2 linked regions of the Danio rerio genome follow. The protein of the gene in region 1 purifies or fractionates together with the protein of each later gene. This does not show direct contact. Links are inferred from orthologs where the notes say so. Each region holds a gene or a part of one and is shown in the gene's direction. Other genes may lie near its edges. The genes, in order: scfd1 and use1.

What was found.
Region 2: the proteins of scfd1 (region 1) and use1 purify together in Homo sapiens (affinity purification with mass spectrometry; 3 studies listed by BioGRID and IntAct, counting the BioPlex papers as one, with this or other methods). This does not show direct contact. The link is inferred for Danio rerio from reciprocal best matches to the Homo sapiens genes SCFD1 and USE1.

What each region holds. Positions count from the first base shown.
Region 1 is NC_133192.1:30,292,154-30,304,337, reverse strand, and holds the start of scfd1 (sec1 family domain-containing protein 1), read left to right. Parts: upstream 1-5,651; 5' UTR 5,652-5,696; coding exon 5,697-5,727; intron 5,728-9,054; coding exon 9,055-9,125; intron 9,126-9,208; coding exon 9,209-9,297; intron 9,298-9,378; coding exon 9,379-9,469; intron 9,470-9,550; coding exon 9,551-9,673; intron 9,674-9,816; coding exon 9,817-9,904; intron 9,905-9,994; coding exon 9,995-10,084; intron 10,085-11,820; coding exon 11,821-11,876; intron 11,877-12,184. Other genes in the region: g2e3 (G2/M phase-specific E3 ubiquitin-protein ligase), read left to right, coding at 2,937-3,148, 3,231-3,478. UniProt on the Homo sapiens protein: Plays a role in SNARE-pin assembly and Golgi-to-ER retrograde transport via its interaction with COG4. Involved in vesicular transport between the endoplasmic reticulum and the Golgi.
Region 2 is NC_133197.1:10,718,606-10,729,545, reverse strand, and holds the end of use1 (vesicle transport protein USE1), read left to right. Parts: intron 1-1,568; coding exon 1,569-1,618; intron 1,619-1,822; coding exon 1,823-1,901; intron 1,902-2,000; coding exon 2,001-2,153; intron 2,154-4,144; coding exon 4,145-4,160; intron 4,161-4,251; coding exon 4,252-4,282; intron 4,283-4,367; coding exon 4,368-4,530; intron 4,531-6,082; coding exon 6,083-6,265; 3' UTR 6,266-7,207; downstream 7,208-10,940.

The sequences.
Region 1 (12,184 bases):
TGTTAAGACGTATATCTTAGCATGTAAAAAGCATAATTATAGGGTCAAATGTGTCAAATCTAGTGATTGATTTATAATAAAGACAGTATGAAATTATTAAGATTAGTTAGGATTTTGGGGCTGCACTGTGATCCTTAAAGGGCACCTATGTTACAGTTCAGTTTTTGTAGACTGTTTGGACAGAACCCAACAAGTCTCTTTTTTTAAATTTCCTTATGTTAAAATAGGACCCTGTAGGGATTATTTACAGTTTTAACTCAAAGAATGACCAGTCTGTCAGATGAAGTAGAGCCGGAGTCAGAAGTTTTACTGAAGATAGTTTGCAGTTTCATCAACAGAAGCCAGCTTCAACACTCGCAATAAGTTCCTTGGCCGCTCTGCTTACAATCATAAATCAACATCAATTATACTCTCTACACAAGACCAGAAAGAGTGTGATTCAGGTAACAGGTTCCGATTGGTTAAAACAAAGATAGACAGTTAAAATATTATGTACAGATGGCAACAGGAGGTTTGGGTCAGGTCAGCCGCCTGTAGACAATTATGAACTGGTCTTAGAACTGCAGAACTGACCCATCGGATGAATATATACACGCAAGTGACAATCTGTTATAAAAACCCAAGGTTGTTTCTTCATACTCTCAGCTGTCTTATCGAACTAGTTCAAAACTGGTATAAACAGCATTCAGACTGCTATATTTTTACAACACAAAGTCTATAAAAATCACTTTAAAATGAATATACACATAACAATAATATCAAATTCACTTTAGACAGTAACACATAGCAATCCAAATAGGAAAACAGTTGTTTTTAATCATCAAGCCCTTCAGTTCCACTTGAGGTTTCCTTGACCTCTGATCTAGTTTGGTGGCTCCTGAAAGTAGAGTTAAAATAGAAAGACAAAAAGACAGGCAAATACACTGAACATTCTTATATTATATTAAGCAATGTGTTAACTTTATTTATTAGTCTAAATCATTTAGTGATTAAATACTGAATTAAATAATCATGTTAATAAAGTTATGAGAAAAAGGATAAATGTTGATCCATGCTGGGATGGATTGAAAGGCAGAAATTCGAGTCCATCAACCCAAATCCCAGTAATTTTGAGGCCCACAGCAAGGAGATGTAGGAGTGCGGTTTATGGAGACAGGTGCCTTGTCTCCATAAAAACTTGTATACACATGTCCACAGAACATTTTTTGCAAAGATACATGTTACAACTCTCTGTGATCAGCTGCACATCAATTAATTTTATAAGTTTAAAATGTTTTTAAAGCAGAGCCCGTTTGTAATAAAGGTAATAAAAATAGTGGGCGGGGAGAAGCAGCTTATTTGGATTTAAAGCCACAGGCTACATAAATAGCTACACTAACCTCAGACAGCAAAATCGGCAGATTCTGGACGATATGATAAATTATCTGATGAGTATTTTGAACTGAAACTTTACAGACACATTCTGAAGACACCAAAGGCGTATATTACATTTTGTAAAAGGGGTAAAATTGGTGCCTTTTTAAATAAAGTTTAATATATTTTATCAAGCAACACTTATTCGAAATATTCATGAACTAAAATTTTGTGTTTATAACATTGTTGCATTGATAATTTGTTGTTTGTCTTCTGTAAGGTGTGTGTGTGCGTGCGTGCGTGCGTCTGTCTGTCTGTCTGTCTGTGTCTGTAGAATTTTTATTTTTTTATTTATTTTTTATTATTATATGTAATTTTTCGCATTTCATTTTTACATCTTTAAGACCCGTAATTATAACATTAATTGAACATATTTTACTGTTCAACAATTTGGTTGGTACGATCTCTCTTTTATTATTTAGTGAGAAATCCATTATTTTATTTAGTACGTTTCCATTAAGCTTATCAAAAGTGACTTTAAATATGAATGACAAAAATGAAGAATGTTTTATTTAAATTAAAATTGAAATGATTACAGTTTTTTTTCCATCCATCATAGAATGTTAATAAGTCATTTACGTTTTTGCATTTAGAATATGTAATTTGTCACAGAACCAATAGCATTTGCATTATACTGTCAGATATTAGAAACCTGGATTAGTATAGAATCTTAACATTTTTGTATTGTGGTAAACCAAAGTAAAATGTTTAAAAATTCGATAGTAATTTCTAAACTGTGATCACATTAACTGCCCCACCAAAAACAATGTGGATTGCATTTCTTAATTCCTAATGGCGGTAGTTAACACTCAAAGCATTTGTTTTTTCAGCACATCCCATAATTTATAAAATATCAACCATTTGGTAGAGGTAGAAATGATGCATATGCTATGAAAATCTGAAAAATATGAAGTGTAATTTCAATTTATAAAAAATAATAATAATAAAACATTTTTGAATACTAAATCAACTTTATTTTTTAGTGTGCCATAAAATATTGCCGATTCTCGTTTAACTTGTTTTCTGTTTGTTTCTGTTTTTTACAATAAAACCAAAATCAAGTGTAGTAGTGCAACATAATAATGTTTGTTTGTTTGTTTGTTTTTTTTTGTTCTAGTTTTTTTTTTTTGGTAAACCAACGATGCTGTTTGTGTAAACTATTATTTAAAACAGTCACTTTTTAAAGGACTGTTTTATTTAAAACAGACAAAATATGATCATCTATAAGTAGAGCAGGCAGTGGAACAGTTAAGTGGAGCAATAACTGCTAGAAAGTTTGCATTAGAATCATACAAAAATGTGAAATAACTTCAAATAGAACACGGTTATTTTGAATTGTTGCATTTATTTCAAATAAAATGTATTCATGAACTTGTATTATTAGTTATTATAAAATTATTAGCTCTTTAATTTTACCTACCCCAATCTGTTTAATTCTAGTGTATCCACATAATGTTTTAAAGCACCTTCATTTCTCTTCATTGTGAGCAAATGTTCATTCAAGCTCATATTTCTTTCCTCAGATTCCGTGAAGGTTTGAGGACACTAGGAATGTTCGAGCAGGTCCAGATGTGCTCAGAGACGTTCTTTCCAGTCTTCTGTGGACCTGTGGAAAGGCTGACGGCTGAATCTGTCATGGAGCTCTTCACAACCCGGTTATCAGAAGAAAAAGAAAAACAAGTTCTAGAAAAGACCACGATAAGCTTTTGGAAACAGTATCTGCATGAATGTGAAGGTCTGTGTGTTACATTTTGGATGAATATGAAGAGAATAATCAATGCATTTTGAATAATTTTAACCCTTCTCTTGTGTTTCAGAGGGTCAATGTGCAGCATCGCTGGAGGACCTCCTAACATTTGCCACTGGTACAGATTTAGTTCCAGCCATCGGATTCAAGCCCACTCCGTCCATCTCATTCCTCAGCTCACCAGACAACTTGTGTGCTTTTCCTCAGAGCAACTGTGATGCCAATCATCTCATTCTGCCTACTCTACCCTCTTACCAGCTCTTCAAGAAACATTTGGATTACACAGTGTGTCAGTTCTCAGTTATGCAGGACATTTAAAGCCGAGCTGGATGTTTCAGTAGAGTCATGGTGTAGATTCACATAATGATTTACAATGGTGCTAAAAGTCTTTTTGTTTGCAGTTAGCGAGTATTATATCAACAGTCTTAAATCGCATTAATGTAAATGATTCACTCTATTTATCAGTAGTTAAACGCAGGTTTTAGAACTTGATGAACTCTGTGTTGTTTAAATGGTCTCAGTTATTGATCCAATTTAATTCTCAAAACAATTTGAGCCACTCAACTATTGAGGAAAAACTCTGAGGTAATATTTTCTACAGAAGCTTAGACTCATGGAAAATTTGTTTTTAAAAAAAGATTATATGTGTGCTTTTCTTATCAATTTAGACTTGAAGAGATTGGGAAAGCTGGTCATGAGCATGTAAATGTAAATAGCTTAATGTAAATGTTGCTTTGAATGGCTTAGATGTTGATTTTATTAGCTTAGAAGTGCAGAGGTTTTTAAACCAAAGCTCAAAGTAGTTGAGTAGTAATGAGTTGTTATGTTCTTATGTTCTTGATTTTTCTTATAAAAAAAAAAACTGCAAAGCTTAAATTGACGCGCTTATAATTTTCTGGTAGCCACAAGATGGAGCAATTGCAAGATTTTTGCCACACTGCTAATGGCAAAATGCCGTCACTACAAATGAAGTAGTTACTGAATGAATTGGTCTGCTTTGCTTGTCATTTCCATTAGAATCACATTTAAGCAGGTATGTCTTTGTTCTTGTACAGTTTTATTTCTCCTGATGTCTTTGTTTGATATCTTGACAACTCGATAACTGCTATAACTTATTTGTTTTAACTTTCTTTTACTGTGTTTACTTTTATTAAATAATGAATGGATTTATAATGTACTTACCTGAAGGTTTTTTTCAATCAGTCTTAAAATCACCTATCAAATAATATGCACACGTCCATCACATCAACAAAACACTGATATACATTTTTAGTCAGAGCAATTAGATAGACTATCTATGCATCCATCTGTTTGACTGAAGTCTGTCTAGATTGCCATTCATCCATAAATGACTTTATGGATTAAGGACTGGACAATATAAACAGACTCTAGCCAAAGACAAACAAATAGATGCATTGATCAATGTAAGACAGATAAAGGGATAGATAACTGGATAGACAGACTGATGAATACAGTGTAGTCAACATTTGAAGTGGAGGAAGGTTTGTTAGAATTGTTTTAAGTGATTAAGTTGTTCACTAGCTTAAGGAGAACTTTGATTAGAGGTTTTGGTCCACTTAAAATGTTGACTACTGTATATTGTCAGATGGGCAAACTGACAGATTTTTTGTGATTTTTCTAGAATTGTCTAAAAAAATAATCTTTTTAACTTTTATACTATTAATAACCTCATTTTGCTTTGGTCCAAATTAGCTATATCATTTTTTTCATATTTTTTAATCATTTGTACTTTTTCTTAGATGTAAGATGATAGATAGACAGACCAAAGGGTGAATATGCAGATAGACAAACTGATGGATGAATTGATAGACTTGATTGACATTGATGGATGGATGAACAGATATGTAAATAGACAAACTGGATAGATTGGTAGACAATAGGATGAATAGATAACCAGATATATAGACAAGTTGATACAGGGATAGACAAAAAATGAATATATAGGCAGATATATAGACAAATTCATACATGGTGGGATGGATAAACGGATGAATAGATTGACAAATTAGGGCTAATCATATTGAAAAAAAATATGATCATGCAATATTTGAATTGTATCCCAATTTGGATCATCACAGTTTAAATGTTATAATACTTTTACTTTTTATTTTCATAGACTCAAATAAGGATAAAACAATACAATTCTATAAAGCCCTTAGGTCTTGAAATCCATAAAACAAGGCAAATGATAACACTGAAATGTGCCTGTCAATAACTTAAAAGAAAGTGATTGTTTTCTTCTGATAAATAATTGAACAAAAGAGAAAAATGTTAATTTAACTTTAATATTTTTGAGCCTGGTAAAAAAAATGCTTTTCATAATTTTATAATGCATATATTCTGTCTAGAGAAACTAAATTAAAAATCAAAATATAAATTATTTAAAATCATCTGATAAGCCCTCCTTGATCTGTTTACTGAGGATCTCCAGTGGTGTGAGTTCTTGTACGCTGACAGACAGCGGCTCGCCGGTTGCCACGTCACCCTCGCAGTCGTCACTGCATAAACAGTAAAGATGGCGGCGTCCATCCGGGAAAAACAGACAGGTCTGTTCTAAAGTTTTTATTTATACACAAACACTCAATGCTGGCAATATTATTAATACTAGTCATTTTCACACGATTTTAAACTCTGTCAATTAAAAATACAGACAATAATGCTGAATGCAAAAAAACAGAAGTAGTACAGTCCTGTCAGTGTAGCTGAGGATGCTAACCGTGATGTTCATAAAGCAGCTACTTAATATGAGATGAATGAAAGATTAACCTACATGAGTGCATAAAGAAACACTTGTACTTTAAAAATATACGAAATGTATACGACTATTATTACCCGTGAGTCCTGTCATGAAAATAAATTGATCTGATTTAGCAAGCTAGCTAAAATCACGAACATTATTCAGATCAATACTTAACGTTAGGTACAATATATTTATGATAATTATTGGGTAACGTTACAGTGTTGAAGGGAAGGTTACGTACGATATTTTAATTTATTTATACTTAATTTATTTTAACTAATTCTATATGCGGTGCAATATCACATTAATATACGTGTATTGTGGATAATTTATCGTTAGTGGATAATATATTTAATATAGTTATTTGTCCTAACAAATCTTTATTGGGATGGACAAAAATACCTTTGTTATTATTTGGTCATTTAAATATTGATTCTCTATTTTTCCGGTTTTCTTTTTTTCTTCTTTTTTTTTAAGTCAGAGATACACAAATGACATGATATAACCATAACCTATAATTTGATGTTGTTGTATGCATTTAAGTATGGGATAGAGATAACGTTGGTTTTCGGACTTTCCTCTTAATAATATAATTTCATAAAAGTATTATTTGCAAACTCTAAATAGCGAAATCCTATTAGCAGCCAATGACTATCAAAGTACAACATTGTTCACAGTCAAATAAACAGTGTTAATGTTGTTGAGAAGTCATACTTGCATGCTAATTTCAATAGAATATTCAAAGTAACATGGTAAACAATATAGAGTCTTCTAAATGAACGAATGTGCAGATATAAAACCAACTTTACCTCTATGAGTATGGGTTCTGATTTAATGTTCAAGCTCTTAATTTCTTTTTGTCAATTGAACATTTAAGAACTGATGTTTGCTTTTCATTTCACAAATGTCAATTGCATTTTATTAAATCTACATTTATTAAATCAAATCGAGAATTAGATCAAGGGTCAGTTGGGTTCTAACAGAAATGAGCGCTTACAAATCAGAACTAATGAACATTGGATAAAATGCATCATTTCAAATTAGGGGAGAATCTATGCTTTGGTTGTTAAAAATTTCAGAAGCAAGAAGGATTTTGTGATTTGGTTTGTTTATCTAATCCAGGGGTCACCAAACTTGTTCCTGAAGGTCCGGTGTCCTGCAGATTTTAGCTCTAACCCTAATCAAACACACCTGAACAAGCTAATCAAGGTTTGACAAGGTATACTTGAAACACCCAGGCAGGTGTGTTGAAGCAAGATGGAGCTAAACCCTGCAGGGACACCGGCCCTTCAGGACCGAGATTGGTGACCCCTTATCTAATCGTTTATTTGTTCATTATTTATTTATTAGTTAAAATATATATGTGCACTGCACACACAAATCTTTGAAGCAAAATTAAGTAAATGTAAGGTTCTATTTGTTAACATAAGTTAACTACAGGGGGCGAGGTAGTGGCGCAGTAGGTATTGCTGTCGCCTCACAGCAAGAAGGTCGTTGTTTCTGTGTGGAGTTTGCATGTTCTCCCTGCCTTCGCGTGGGTTTCCTCCGGGTGCTCCGGTTTCCCCCACAGTCCAAACACATGCGGTACAGGCGAATTGGGTAGGCTAAATTGTCCGTAGTGTATGAGTGTGTGGATGTTTCCCAGAAATGGGTTGCGGCTGGAAGGGCATCCGCTGCGTAAAAACTTGCTGGATAAGTTGGCGGTTCATTCCACTGTGGAGACCCAGGATTAATAAAGGGACTAAGCCGACAAGAAGATGAATGAATAAAAAGTTAACTACATTGGTTTACAGCCTTTTGTATGAGTTACTTTCAACAATAACACACTTTATTTCAACGTACAAGTCTCACTTTTACTGAACCATTGACTTTTACCTCAGTAAACACCTTATTTGCTCCTTGTTAATAGTTATTAAGGTAGTAGTTAGTTTTATGTATTGGGTAGGATTAGGTATATACTGTATAATATCATTATGCAGAATTAGGCATGGGCTGGTATAAGATTTTGACAGTATGATAACCTTAGATAAAATTATCAAGGTTACACAATTTCTCAGTATTATGTTCACTGCCATAAATATGCTCTTTTTTAATGTCTGGGTAAAAAAAAAAACTTTTGCCTTTTAAATTTGAACACAATATATTTTATTTTGAGAAACATTTAAAATATTTTGGAGCAGTAAATATGTCAGGCTAAATAATGAAAATGAATTGTTAACTTCTGCTGCCTTCATTAGCTTACACTGATTTCTTTACATTTAAAAAGTGCATCTTGGATATCTTTTCCGCCGGAGATACTGTTGTCCTTAAAAACAAACAAAAAATAAAAATTTACAAAAGAAAATCTTACAAATACCGTGGGAACGGTTTAACTGAAAATGTTGACGTTTTTAAAACCTGACTTTTCCAAACCGTGGTAAACCTTGAAAAAGATTATCGTGCCATCTCTATGCAGATTATATACTTTATAAGTACAGATTAACAGCCAGCATCTTAATAATAGGCAGCTAAAAAAGGCACTAGTTAATAGTGAGAATTGGTCCTATTTTTTTTTAAATATCTTTTTCTGTTAATAATATATCATTAATAAATACAACTGAAAACTGGGGCGACGCAGTGGCACAGTTGGTAGTGCTGTTGCCTCGCACCAAGAAGGTCGCTGGTTCAAGCCTCTGCTGGGTCAGTTGGCGTTTCTGTGTGGAGTTTGCATGTTCTCCCTGCGTTTGCATGGGTTTCCTCCGGGTGCTCCTGTTTCCCCTCAGTCCAAAGACATGCAGTACAGGTGAATTGGGTGGGCTGAATTGTCCATAGTGTATGAGTGTGAATCAGTGTATACGGATGTTTCCCAGAGATGGGTTACAGCTGGAAGAGCAATCGTTGCATAAAACAAATGCTGGATAAGTTGGCGGTTCATTCCGCTGTGGAGACCCCAGATTAATAAAGGGATTAAGCCGAAAAGAAAATGAATGAATGAATAAACAACTGAAAACTGAGTTAACATGAACTAAATATGAAGAGTTTGCTGTGGTTGTTGTTTTTTTTCTAAGATTTATAAACATTGACACTGTCAAATCTTGCATGTTAACTGTTGTTAAGAATTGCTAATATATGTCGTTGCTATTTCTCTTCTCAGCTGCTCTCAAACGAATGCTCAACTTTAATGCCCCACCCCTTAAAAACACAACAGCTGAGCCAGTATGGAAGGTAAGAGACAAACCTAGAAGTTTCCCCTTTTTAAATGTGCTTCAGTGATGCTTTTTTGGCTCACACATTGCTATTCTTGTTAGGTTCTTATTTACGATCGCTTTGGCCAAGACATTATATCTCCGCTTCTGTCTGTGAAAGAGCTACGAGACATGGGCATCACTCTGCACCTGTGAGCACCTCTAAAACATCCAGTCAGCTGTTTCATAATACTAATCGAAATGATCGTTCACAATTGTTTGTTTCTCTCTAGCTTGTTGCACTCAGATCGCGACCCCATTCCAGACGTTCCTGCCATTTACTTTATAATGCCCACAGAGGAGAACATCGACAGGATATGTCAAGTAAATATGCTTGTTTTGGTCAGTCCCATTCAAAGATAATTTGTTTGAATAATTTCAGAACATTTATATGCTCCATCACAGGACCTCCGAAACCAACTATATGAGTCCTACTATTTGAACTTCATCTCCGCAATTTCCAGAAGCAAATTGGAGGATATAGCAAGTGCTGCGCTTGCGGCTAATGCAGTAAACCAGGTGACCAAAGTAAGTCCGACATGTTTGTTCACAGTGAGTGTCTGTTGTGCTTTTGCTAGAGCTCGAGCTCAGTGAAGTCATGCAGAAAGCCAAATAACATGCTGCTCATATTTATTTCAGCTTAAATGTTAGACTGTTCTGTTCCTCCTCAGGTATTTGATCAGTATTTGAACTTCATCACACTTGAGGATGATATGTTCATTCTCTGTAATCAAAACAAAGAGCACATCTCCTACCATGGTAAGCTGTTAAACCCACTTGAAATATTAATTAATTTATTTTTAAATATAATCCAGAGTTATTAATAGTTGTCTTGTTCTGTTTCCTCAGCAATCAATAAGCCAGATATCATGGACACAGACATGGAGGGTATAATGGACACAATAGTGGATAGTCTCTTCTGCTTCTTTGTTACTCTTGGTAAATAAGGATATTAATTTGTTGTATCCTATCATGCATATGCACTCCCATTCAGAAGTTTGGGGGTTTGTTAAGGGTTTTTATGCATGTTTAAAATGTCTCCTACGCTCACCATTTAATTATTTAAGTTTAATTCATATTGTGGGTTTCATAACAGTTTAAAACAGCTGTCTAATTTAAAGGCATAGTTCACCCAAAAATCAAGATTTACGTACCATTTATACTGGCTTATGTTGTTCCAACCATTTTTGAGTTTCTTTTTTCACTGAACACAAAGAAGATGTTTTGAATGTTGTTCAACGGTGATAAGCTTTGACATCCATAGTAAGAAGAAAATAGTATGCAAGTCAGATTTTTTTTTTTCAAAATATCTTCTTTTCTCTTTATAAGAAGAAAGAAACTCAGATTTGTTTGGACCAAGTGGAGGGGTTAGTAAATGATGACAGAATAAAAATTTCTGGGTGAACCATGCTTTTAATGCATTTTAAAATGTATTTATTCCTATAATGGCATTTTCAACATCATTACTTCAGATTATCACATGGCATGATCCAGAATTCTTTCTAGTATGCTGATTTGATGTTAAGGAAACACTTCTTATTCAATCATTCATTTTCTTTTCGGCTTAGTTCCTTTATTAACCTGGGCCACAGCGGAATTAACCGCCAACTTATCCAGCATATTTTTCACGCAATGGATGCCCTTCCACATGCAACCCATCACTGGGAAACACCCATATACACCCATCCATACACATACACTACGGACAAATTTAGCTCAATTTACCTGTATCGCATGTCTTTTGGACTTGGCACCCAGAGGAAACCCACGCAAACGTGGGAAAAACATGCAAACTCTACACAGAAACGCCAACTAAGGCACGAACCAGCAACGTCCTTGTTGTGAGACAACCACACTTATTATTATTATTATTGTTATTTTTATTATGTTGAAAGCTGTTTACAGGGCACCTATAATGAAAATGTATAATAAATAATCTGATGGGTGTTTTGAGCTGAAACTTTACAGACACATTCTAGAGACAGACTTATCTTAAATGTTGAAAAAGGGGTTAAATAGGTGCCTTTTAAAGAACAGCATTATTTTAAATACAACATTTGCATGCTCTGAATATTGTTTACTATCACTTTTGATCAATTTAAGTCATCCTTTTTTTTTCAAATAGAATATTTTCATTAAACTTACCTACACTTTTAAAATGTATTTTGCACTTTAAATAACCAATATCAAGTTAAAAGCACATATTTTAAACAATTTTGTGCCTGTATTATGAAATCATGAAAGAATAATAATTGATGATTGCAAACAGGACTCCCAGTTGCTGTCTCTGTCTGTCTAATTTTGACTAATGTGAATTTAAAAAGACTTCATATTTTATCAAAATAAAAAAAGCAGTCATATTTTTAGCATCAAGCTCACATTACAGCTATTAGTTTAACTGTCAGAAAGTTCCACTGGGTGGCAGAACCTTTCTAAATATTGTTCTGTACATTGCTCAGAAGACCAAAAAAATGTAGATGCATTGAACTGATCCACTCTTTAATTATTACATTCTACAATTATATATGACAGTAACGTAACCATTCAAATTTAGTGCAGCGATCAAGCCCGTATTGTTGTTTTTGAAATGTGATTTTGTGTGTCTTGGGAGCCTGTGAGCAGATATTCAGTTCACCCTCCTGTTGGCAGTACAATGAGCTTTCCTGTTATCGTAGGTGCTGTCCCAATAATTCGATGTCCAAGAGGGAATGCTGCCGAAATGGTAGCAGTGGTAAGAGAGCCCTTACTCTATTTTTGTTTCAGTTTTTTGTTTTTTTAATGAACAGTCTGAGACACCCTTGTTTTTCTTTGTTAAATAAGAGTTTATGAATTAAGAAACAGAGTTTTTTACTGGTCATGAATGGTCTTGTGACGATCACCTAAATAATCTTTGTGTTACAATGGATTTTGTTCTCTGTGTGCATGTGCAAACTGATATCATGGCGTAATTCATTTTCACTGATGGTACAGAATTCCTCTTTGTTCCATATGTGAGATTCAGTCCAGTCTCATCTCGCTTACACTGGAGCTTTTAGATGA
Region 2 (10,940 bases), on another chromosome or scaffold:
AAATACTTTTTATATTTTTAAAATAATTTTCTGTTTAAATCTGCATTAATTTGCATACTTATATAGCCAAAAATCTTACATGGGATAAGTCTTGGGTTTCTCTACAGTTTAAAAAGTATTTAGTTTACTTTAGGCAAGTAAACCAACTGCCTTAAACAAAACAAGTTCACTTTACTTAAAAATAAAATGACTAAACCTGTCGTAACTTGTAAATTTTAAATTGACTTAACTTAATTTTTTAGAATTATGCAAATTTTACTCCCTGTTTTAAAATGAAGTCAGCTAATCACTTTTACAGTGTATTTGATCACCATATATTTTTAAAAAAGTTCTGCAGACAGACTGAAAATTAAAAACTTTTTTACATTTTTAATAATGTGTTTAAATTTGCACTAATTTTCATATTTATCTAGCCAAAAATCTTACTTTGGATGAATTTTGGGTTTCTCTACAGTTTAAAAAGTGATTAGTTACTTAAAGCGAGTAAACAAACTGCCTTAATAGATGCAAGTTGAGTTTACTTAAAAATAAAATAACTAAATCTGTCGTAACTTTTAAATGTTAAGTTGACTTAACCATTTTTTTTAGAATTATGCAGATTTTACTAAATTTTTTAACATAGTCAACTAATGACTTTTACAGTGTACTTTATCACTCCATAGTTTAGAAAATACTGCAAACAGATCAAAAATGTTACACTTTTAAAAAATTTTAAACCAATTTTTATCAAAGTTCTGTTTAAATCTGCATTAATTTGCATATTTATCTAGCCAAAAATCTTACTTTGGATAAATCTTGGGTTTCTCTACAGTTTAAAAGTGTTTAGTTACTTAATGCGAGTAAACCAATGGTCTTAAAAGAAACAAATTGACTTAAAAATAAAGTAACTAAACTCGTTGTAAATGTTAGGTTGACTTACTTTTTCATAATTATGCAGATTTTAGTCACTTTTTTTAAAATGAAGTAAAAAAAATCACTTTTTATAGTGTACTTGATCACTCCATAGTTCAGAAAAAAATGCAAACAGAAAATTAAATACTTTTTTACATTTTTGTAAATATTTGAAGTGTGTTGTAGGTTAGTGCTGCAGAAGTGGAGATTTATTTTGAGAAATAAGCTTTATTGAGGTAAAGTTGGTTTTATTTTTGCACATTCTGACATTCACTATGTTAATATAATTTAAAATTCTAAATAGTAAAATCACATTACCAGCCGATAACGATCAAAAATCATCGACATTGTTCACAATTAATTAAATAGTGCTAATGTTGTTTTGAAGTCAATTTCAGACTGAATATTCAAATTATCATGTCACAAATTGTCACCTTTAAAAAATGAATGAATGTGCGAATATACAACCAACTTTACCCCAATATAAACCTTTACAAAATATCTGTTGTAATTGAAATCTAAAGACACAAATTGATAAAGTGAAGAAAAAGAAACACTTAAATGTGTTTTTCGGATGTTTTCTTTACATATGATTGAAAAAAAAAACCCACAGAAATCTCAATTGACTTTGATTTGAAAAAAAACTGTATGTTTTGTTTTGTTTTTGTCTTTTCAAGTATGTCGGTGCTCTCGAGGAGATGTTTGTCGCCCTCAAAAAAAGTCCCAGGTAATTTTGAGCCATAATGTATTACAAAAAATACATATATTGGGTGAAAACGCCTCAATGTATCAATATTAGCTTGAAAGCTAAAAACAGCTAGCTTAGCAATGTTTCTACAGCAGTTATGAAATGTCTCGTTTGATATGAACTACCACAGACATTGACTTTTATAATAATAATTCATCATTTATTCGTGATGTCTTCCCTCAGCAAACCCACACCGGAAACGCTGACAGACTACAACCGTAAAGTGGATTTCCTCAAGGGGCTTTTAGAGGCAGAGAAACTGGTCTGTTTTTATGTTTGGTTTTTTGGGTTTCCACATATTGATGGAAGCAACTTTTCTTCCTGTGATTTTAACTGTTGATGTTTTGTTTCTGTTTTGTAGCCGTCTCCAGCTGAGAAGTCTTTAGCCAATCAGTTTCTGGCTCCCGGACGAACGCCGACGATCTCCAGTGAGAGAACGCCAGCCAGCAAAACAGTCCACATTCAGAGCAAAGCCAGATGTGCTGGAGAGATGCGGAAAGAGTTGATGAGCAGCGTACGAGAGCTTGATTTCTTTACTATAAATCTGCTTCATTTGGATTTGTTTTATTTATTTTTTTGTTTAAGTTGATTTGTTTTATTTAAAGACTAGATCACTGGTGTAAAATGCAGCTCCTGGAGGGCCGCTGCTCTGCACAGTTTAGTTCCAACCCTGCTTAACAAACTTGTGCCACGGTCACAGTTGAGTTTGTGCTTACAAAATTCTGTAGTACGGCGCTGCGAAAAGGAGTGGAATTAAACAAGATGATTAGACATTTACGAAATCAAGCGATTGGTCCATATTTACGTTTCTATCCAGAGAGGTCATGTTTTAATCATTGATTGGTCTCACGCAATTACGTGATGGGATTTTCGCAGGTCAAAGTTCAACAAGCTTGAACTTTACAACGCAGCGAACTACGAAACTTGTCGCAGGTGCTTGCGTTTCCGTTCTGACGCATTCGGGTGAGTATGACTGAAAATCTATGGGGTGAAAAGTCCAGTGTGACCACGGCTTTACCTGTAGGTTTCAAGCAAGCAGTCAATTAGTTTGATCAGGTGTGTTTAATTAAACTGTGCAGAGCTGCAGTCCTCCAGGAACTGGATTTGATACCTGTGGACTAGATAAAGATCCTTCTAATGTTGTGTTAAAGATCAGCACTATTGTATTAATTCAAATTCTATTTAGTTTTCATTTATTTATTATTTAACTTGAATTCGTTTTTTTATTTTAAGATTTTCTTTTCTTTGTTTAGTCAGTTTTTGTGGTAATTATAAAATTAGTAGCTAAAATAAAATAGTCTTGGAAAAGTCTTGGTATTTTCTATTTAAATTATGTATTACTATATTTTTTATATTTGTATAACATAAATAATATAATATAATATAATATAATATAATATAATATAATAATATAGTGCTTCACAAGCCTAAACAAATGTTAAAAACTTAAAGTTTGTGTATTCAAATATAGAAAGAGATAAGCAAAAATAATATAATAATATATTAAAATATACTTAATTTTAATTTTAGATAAATTATCTGCAAAGAATTTTGTGCATATGTGTTTTTGAAATGTAACTTTTTCTCTATATTTATATATTTATTTATATAATTTTTATTAATTGTATTTTAGTTTTTTCAGTTTTTAGAGATTTTAATAACAAAATAAACATGAGAACTAGGAATGAAACAAAAAATATTTTCACTTTATGTATTTCAGTTAACAGCAAAAGTTTTATATTGAATTCTTTTGGTATATTAATTAATAAAATGTTATCTTTAAGCATAAAACTATCAACAATAGTATTGTTATTGTAGTAAAAATAAAACTATTATATTCTTACTGTTTATATGTATATGTGTGTGTTACAGACACAAATTATTGAGATATTTTTAAATGTAATTTATACTCATTAATTATTCATTTTCTTTTCGGTTTAGTCCCTTTATTAATCTGGGGTCGCCACAGCAGAATGAACCGCCAACTTATCCAGCATATGTTTTACGCTGCTGATGCCCTTCCAGCTGCAACCCAGCTGCTGGATAAGTTGGCGGTTCATTCCGCTATGGTGACCCCAGATTAGTAAAGGGACTAAACCGAAAAGAAAATGAATGAATGAATAATTTATATTTAAGCAGTAATTAAGACAGTTTTTAGTAATAATGTAATGCATTTTTCTTTTTTTAACATTTACTTTTTAAAATATCTTATTTTTTAAATCATATTATTATTATTATTATTATTTCCTTTTTAAATTGTATTAATATTAATAATAATAATGCATATTATTTAAAGGCGCCTTTCATATTATATGTTTATGTTTCCGTATTAGTCATTTTAGTACATTAGGTACATGTGAAACATTTAGATTTACATTTTCAGGTTTAATTTATTTTTACTTTGAGTAACTAAACCATCATCTTCATAACATCATTCATATATAATATTAATTGTAAAAATATATATATTTAGTACTAACCCTTCTATCTTTGTCTTAATAACAGGGTGTGTCAAATTCCGGTAAGCTGTGTCTTGTATTTTAACAAACTCAACATATTTCAGAAACTGATTGACACCTTGATCAATTATCGTCTTTATTCTTCACTTTCAGCTTTACTAGAGAACGACCTCCGACACAGGAAGTAGGTTTCACTTTCTTCAGTTCTCCGTCGAATGAGCTGCTGTTACTGGTTTCTACATCATTCCTGTTTCTCCTCTGTTTTTCAGAAGTCTTCCAGTAGACGAGCGTCAGTCGGCAGCAGAACTGGACCAAATCCTGCAGCATCATCACAACCTGCAGGAGAAACTGGCCGATGACATGCTGAATCTCGCGCGCAACCTCAAGAACAACACACTCGCCGCTCAGAACATCATCAAGCAGGACAACCAGGTGCTGTTTCTTTCTGAAAAAAAGATTTGGAGATGTATAAAATAATTGCATCTACTCACAGCAAATGATGTGGCACATTATAAAAGTGTGCATGTTTTAATTACGACATGCGTCTAGACTTCTCTTTTGTGTTTTTTGGTTCTGTTATAAGAGTAATATTTCAAGATATTTATTTTCATTGCATTTTAAATACAAATGAACACTAATCTCAAATTAATTATTGTCATATATATATATATATATATATATATATATATATACACACACACACACACACACACACACACACACACACAGTTGAAGTCAGAATTATTAAACCTCTTTGATTTATATTCATATTTGCCAAATGATGTTTAACAGAGCAAGGAAATTTTCACAGTATGTCTGATAATATTTTTTCTTCTGGAGAAAGTCTCATTTGTTTTATTTCAGCTAGAATAAAAGCAGTTTTTAATTTTTTTAACATCATTTTAAGGACAAAATTATTAGCCCATTTAAGCTATTGTTTTCGATAATTTACAGAGCAAACTATCGTTAAACAATAACTTGCCTAATTCCCCTAACCTGCCTAGTTAACCTAATTAACCTAGTTAAGCCTTTTAATGTCACTTTAAGCTGTATAGAAGTGTTTTGAAAAATATCTAGTCAAATATTATTTACCGTCTTTATGACAAAGATAAAATAAATCAGTTATTAGAAATGAGTTATTACAACTATTATGTTTAGAAATGTGTTTTAAAAATCTGCTCTTTGTTAAACAGAAATTGGGGAAAAATAAACTGGGGGGGGGGGGTTGTGGCTAATAATTCTGACTTCAGCTGTATATATAATATTACTAGTATTATTAATAATAAATATAAAATATATAAAATAAGCTTATAATAATAAAAATAATAAAATAACAGTATTTAATATTACTATTGTTATTATCATTAATCAGTTGGATGTATTATATTTAATATATTTAATAGAATAATTGTATAATGTGATTGTACCATTACTACCATATAATATAAATTCTTTATTTGTTTATTAGTTTTTGAGAGAAATTTACCACAATAAGCATTAACAGTATGTAGATGCTCAAAGTTAATATAATTAATCATATTGACCAGCTTTTTGCATACTTTATTTGGTGTATTTCTAAAGTGTATATAGTAATTATACTTATAACTGTTGTTATTGTTACTAATTTATTGAAAATTAGATGATATTAGGTTAGAAACTGTTTTTGTATATATAAAAGTGCATGTGTTCATTAGTTTTTAGTGGAATGTAAGCTGCATAAAGAGTACGTTTTTGAATGGCTGGTTTACTTGAGACCACTAGAGGGCAGCAATATGCTAGTGTTTACACTTGCAGATCTTTCAAGTGTCCTCCTGTGGTTTGTTTACATACTTCAAATCCATATCGAAACCAATGTCAGTTTTAATCACTTTATTAGCATATTATGTTAATAAATTGGCTATATTCATAATGTTTTTGTCTAATATATTGGCCTGTTTTAATTTCTTTCTGTTGTTTATGATTTTTGATTCTCTCTGCTTTGCAGACCCTCACACAGTCCATGCGTCAGGCGGACGTGAACTTCGAGAAGCTGAAAACCGAGTCCGAGCGACTGGAGCAACACGCCAAAAAATCCGTCAACTGGTTCCTGTGGCTGATGCTAATAGTTGTTTCTTTCACCTTCATCAGCATGATCCTGTTTATAAGACTGTTCCCGCGGCTCAGATGATGCTAATCCAGTTTAGCAAAACAGCTAGGTTTTATTTATCTATAACAAAAGGTTTACATATATAGACTCCAGCCAAAAGTTATAGAAATGTATGATTGACGGCCTCAGTCATTCCCGCGGAAAATCTACATTACCTGCATGCCATTGTGATGTCATAACGAATTCGCGCCGAATCCCTACTGTCAATAAAGTGATGAGGGAATCCCTTCTTTTGTTCGACCATGTTGATGATGCTCGTTAATAACGGTAAGTTATTGTTATTCCATAACCGCAAACTATTCGTCAACCATTTAATAAACGACTTATCTAACAATAAACGCTGTTAAAATTAAGTTTCAAGTAAACCATGTCTTTTTAAAGACGAGCTTAAATTAAATTACCTCATGAAAATTCTGTTTAATGTAGCCAAATAAAACACTACATATGAGATGCTTAACATGACTTAACGTTTAATTCCGCTTTTTTATGACCTCAGTCAATTGATCCACGTACTGTACTGTACGATGGCTATAAAAATGCACCGAGCTGATTTAAAGTCCGGTCGGCTTGTATCGGTTCAGTGAGGAAATGTTCTGGCAAACAGCAGGAAGTTATTTTGCTTGTCGGACGCACACATGGAGACTGTCTTCTCCACCCAGAGAGTAAATGGCCCGTATTTAGCTGAAGGTTTATTTCTGCGTGTTCTCTTATGGTGGATGAAGTGTTAAGTATTGCTCAGATATGGTGTTTGTGCTACTATTGATGGATGTTAATGTTTGTCTCAAGCGTCCCGTCATTGATTGTTCGTCATGTACTGTTTGCTTTAATTGATTCACATGAGAACAGGCGACACATTGTTTTTTTTTTTTTTGTTTGGTTTTTTTTGTCTTCAATGTGTTCAAATGTAGTGAGACTGAAAAATAGAGACGTGTGTATTGTTTTAATAAAATTATTTGCAGTCAACCATATGGTGTTTAGCTGTTTTTAATCATTTTGACAAATGTGACTGGGTGGGTTACGTTTGCTTATGGGTTTTTATATAGCTACAGTTGAAGTTAGAATTATTATTAAAATTTTTTTTTCTTTTTTTAATATTTCCCAAATGATGTTTAACAGAGAAAGGACATTTTCACAGTGTGTCTGAAAATATTTTTGTCTTCTGGAGAAAGTCTTATTTGTTAATTTCGGCTAGAATAAAAGCAGTTTTGATTTTTTAAAAACTATTTTAATGTCAAAATTATTAATGTTAACCCCATATATTATTTCAAAAGTCTACAGAACAAACTATCAATAAAACAAACCATCATACAATAATTTGCCTAATTACCCTAACCTATCCTACCCTAAAATAATTCAGGGGGACTAATAATTCTGACTTCAGCCGTATATAGAAAAGAAGGTTTTATATGTTAAGACTAAACATTTTGTATCTATCATTAATTCTATTTTAAGAGCTCCCATCATGCAAAATCAACTTGTTTGAAGCTGGTTGGTTGTAAATGTGTGTACAGAGTATCCGCAGGTCTTAAAATGTCTTACATCTCAAAACTAAATTTTTGGTCTTAAAAAGTCTTCAATCTACTGAAATGTTGTGTTGTAAGTCCTAAATCTTTTTCAACAGATTTTGATTTTCCTGTTATTTTTTCTTTATTTTAATATTATTGTAGACAGAAGTAATTTACAGCTTTGTTTTGTTCTATTCTTGGTAAGGGTTATAGGGTTTGTAAATGGATATATTTGAAGACTAATAAAAACAAATTTATTTGTTCAACAAATATAAAAAATAAATAAATAAAAAATAAAAACTAATAATAATAATTTTTTAAATATTTTCACTACATTTGAAATATTTTTTTTAAAAATTGAATAAAGCTAAAATAATTGTATCATTAAATGTGTTGAAATGTAATAATTTTTGATGGGGCAAGTGAAAATATTTTTAACTGGCATATGCGGAAAAAAATAAATCCTTAGCATTTAGCCCTGTACCGTATCAGTCTAAAATTTCATTCATAATAATGTTAAAATGTCTTGAGTCTTAAATCTACTGAAATGTTGTGTTGTAGGTTTTAAATCTTTTTTTCTTAAATTTTTTCTCTCTCTATTTTATTATTATTGTAGACTGACGTAATTGACAGCTTTGTTTTGTTCTATTCTTTGTAAGGATTATAGGGTTTGTGAATGGATATATCTGAATATTAGTAAAAAAAAAAAAAATCTAAAAATATTATTGAAAAAACTAAATTATCATTGTATCTTTAAATGTATTACATTTGAATAATTTTTAATAGGTCAGGTGAAAATATTTTCTAACTTGGATATTCAACAGCGTTCAGCCCAGTATAAGTCTAAAATTTCATTCATAATGGTCTTAAAAATGTCTTAAAGTCTTAGTAAAACCTACAGAAACCCTGGTATAGTGTGTCCACAGTCACTGGAGGGATATAAACACAACCAGTCTATTTCTTTTTTTTCCATTTCGTGATGTTAAAATAGAATACAAGTCCCAGCTATTTTGAAGCCCACTGCACTGTGAAGTAGCAGTGCAGTTTTTCCTGCCACCGATATTCATTGACAGGCTTATATTTGCATGTCTCAGTCTACAAGACAGGATTTGCAAAGAAACTGGGTTTCAAAGATCTGTTCCAACTCTGTGATTCAACTGCACTTCAAAAAGCAGTAAGTGCTACACTTTGTATTTTTTTAAATAGCAATTTGAACTACACTGTTTGAGTTACATAATTTATTACTGCTGGAATCTCCACAGCTGCATTCTACAGACCAGTGTCTCCAACCTTAAGGGTCAATGCGGACTGGTCAGCTCTTGACAATTTAATGGCAATGATGACAAGCTGACAAAACATTGCTGCCACTCTGATACAAGTTGGAGATGTGCATATTCCATAAGTAAAATAAAGCTGATCGGTCAGTTCTTGTCACAATGCGCTTGTGGTATTCTGTAGATGTTTTCAAATGGGTGCATCTGGAAGCCATCTCCAGCAGTCGATCTTCTTGCACAGACATGCTGGATTCATGTGATTCGTTGACAAATGGGTTGGGGATTCTATTCCTTGGCAGTTCGTAGGTCCTTCACTGGGCCTTTCCCCTTCCCAAATAAACTTTCCAAAGACGACTATTTCTTACTCATTTAGCTGCTTGTGGGTGACGGAAATGCAACCAAGAGCATACAGTCATTTTTTAAAATAAAGATTTTTCAAAATTAAAGATTGTTCAGAACCAGAAATTAAGTAAAATGAAAATAGTTAATAATTTCTTGTGTGGTCCGGTACTGGTCTGCATCCTGGGGGTTGGGGACCACTTGTACAGACAACTGTAAACGAGGATGCTTCAATCACATAACAGGAGTCCCGGTTTGTGGGTGTTAAATTGGGTTGATTTGTACAGCAGCTTTGCTATAAAGGATCTCTGTGCAGCACCATATTTACTCGTTTGGTGGGCATCCTGTCACATTTGCAATGAGTAGATGAGCAAAAACAGCACAATGTGTTAAACACAAGTGTGTGTGTGTGCAGAACATTGTAACTCATTTGTGTGTGGCTCATTCATCATTGCAACTAGGAAGGCTGAATAAACTCCACAGCAGCTACATAAAATAAGCATTGGGAAACTTTCTGGTTCAGGCTCCCTGTGGTGTTTGTGACTGGGTCTCTGCTTCATTGTGTCTGTCATTTTTCTGGTTTGTCCTGACATCTGACCCAGATTATTCTTTTTTTAAAGCTAAATGTCTAAAGAGTGGACGGGGAGAACCAACTCATTGTGATTTAAAGGCACCAAGCTACAATTCCCTCTGACCCCAAATTTGACATTTTTAACAGAATTTAATAATTGATCTAGTGGGTATTTTGACTTGAAACTTTACAGACACATTCTGGAGACATAATAGATTTCTGTTACATCTTGTAAAAGGCCCAAAATTGGAGTCCTTAAAATTGTTTAAAAAAACAATAGACAAATTACTGCAGCGAGGTTGCAGAAAAAAATGGGAGTGCTAGCATTTACAGCGAGGGAAGGACATGCGATACGGCACAGAGTTTGTTGTTGTCTTGGAAATAAATGTTATTGATTATATATTTTATATATTATTTACTTAATGCTTTCAGCATTTTATAACAGCTCGTCACCCAGTGATAAGCACAGTGGTTCGGCAAAATTAACGTCAAAATGAGCGGCATTCATCTGACAGGTTCATTTGCGATAGCACGCTCCCAATGAATGTTGAATAAGACGAAATGATCAAGCATCCAGCCCGAAATATACAACTATCACTTTGAAACTCCAAGTGATTTTACAGAAGGGAAGTTAAAGGCCTACAAGTCTTTGGATGCCAACAATGTTGTTCATGTGCAAGAAATAATGTTCCATAATTACTAGATTCAAAACTTTGGCAAGGTAAGAAGACGGAACTGTACAAGGCCTGGGCAATCATCAACAAGCAAAACAACTGCATTCTGACAGTGAACTCCACCGGTACGGCAGGGTATGTAAACGTACATTTTTACATTTCATTCTAAGCATTCAGTATCTGCAGTTTAATTCACCATATTTAACTGTTTTTGCTGAAATCATTGCCATAATCAAAAACAAGTAATGTGTATGATTCAGCATAGCGTGAACTTACCTGATATAAAATGAGAACTGCAGAGTCCAGCATTTTTAATTAGGTCCTCACTCCATT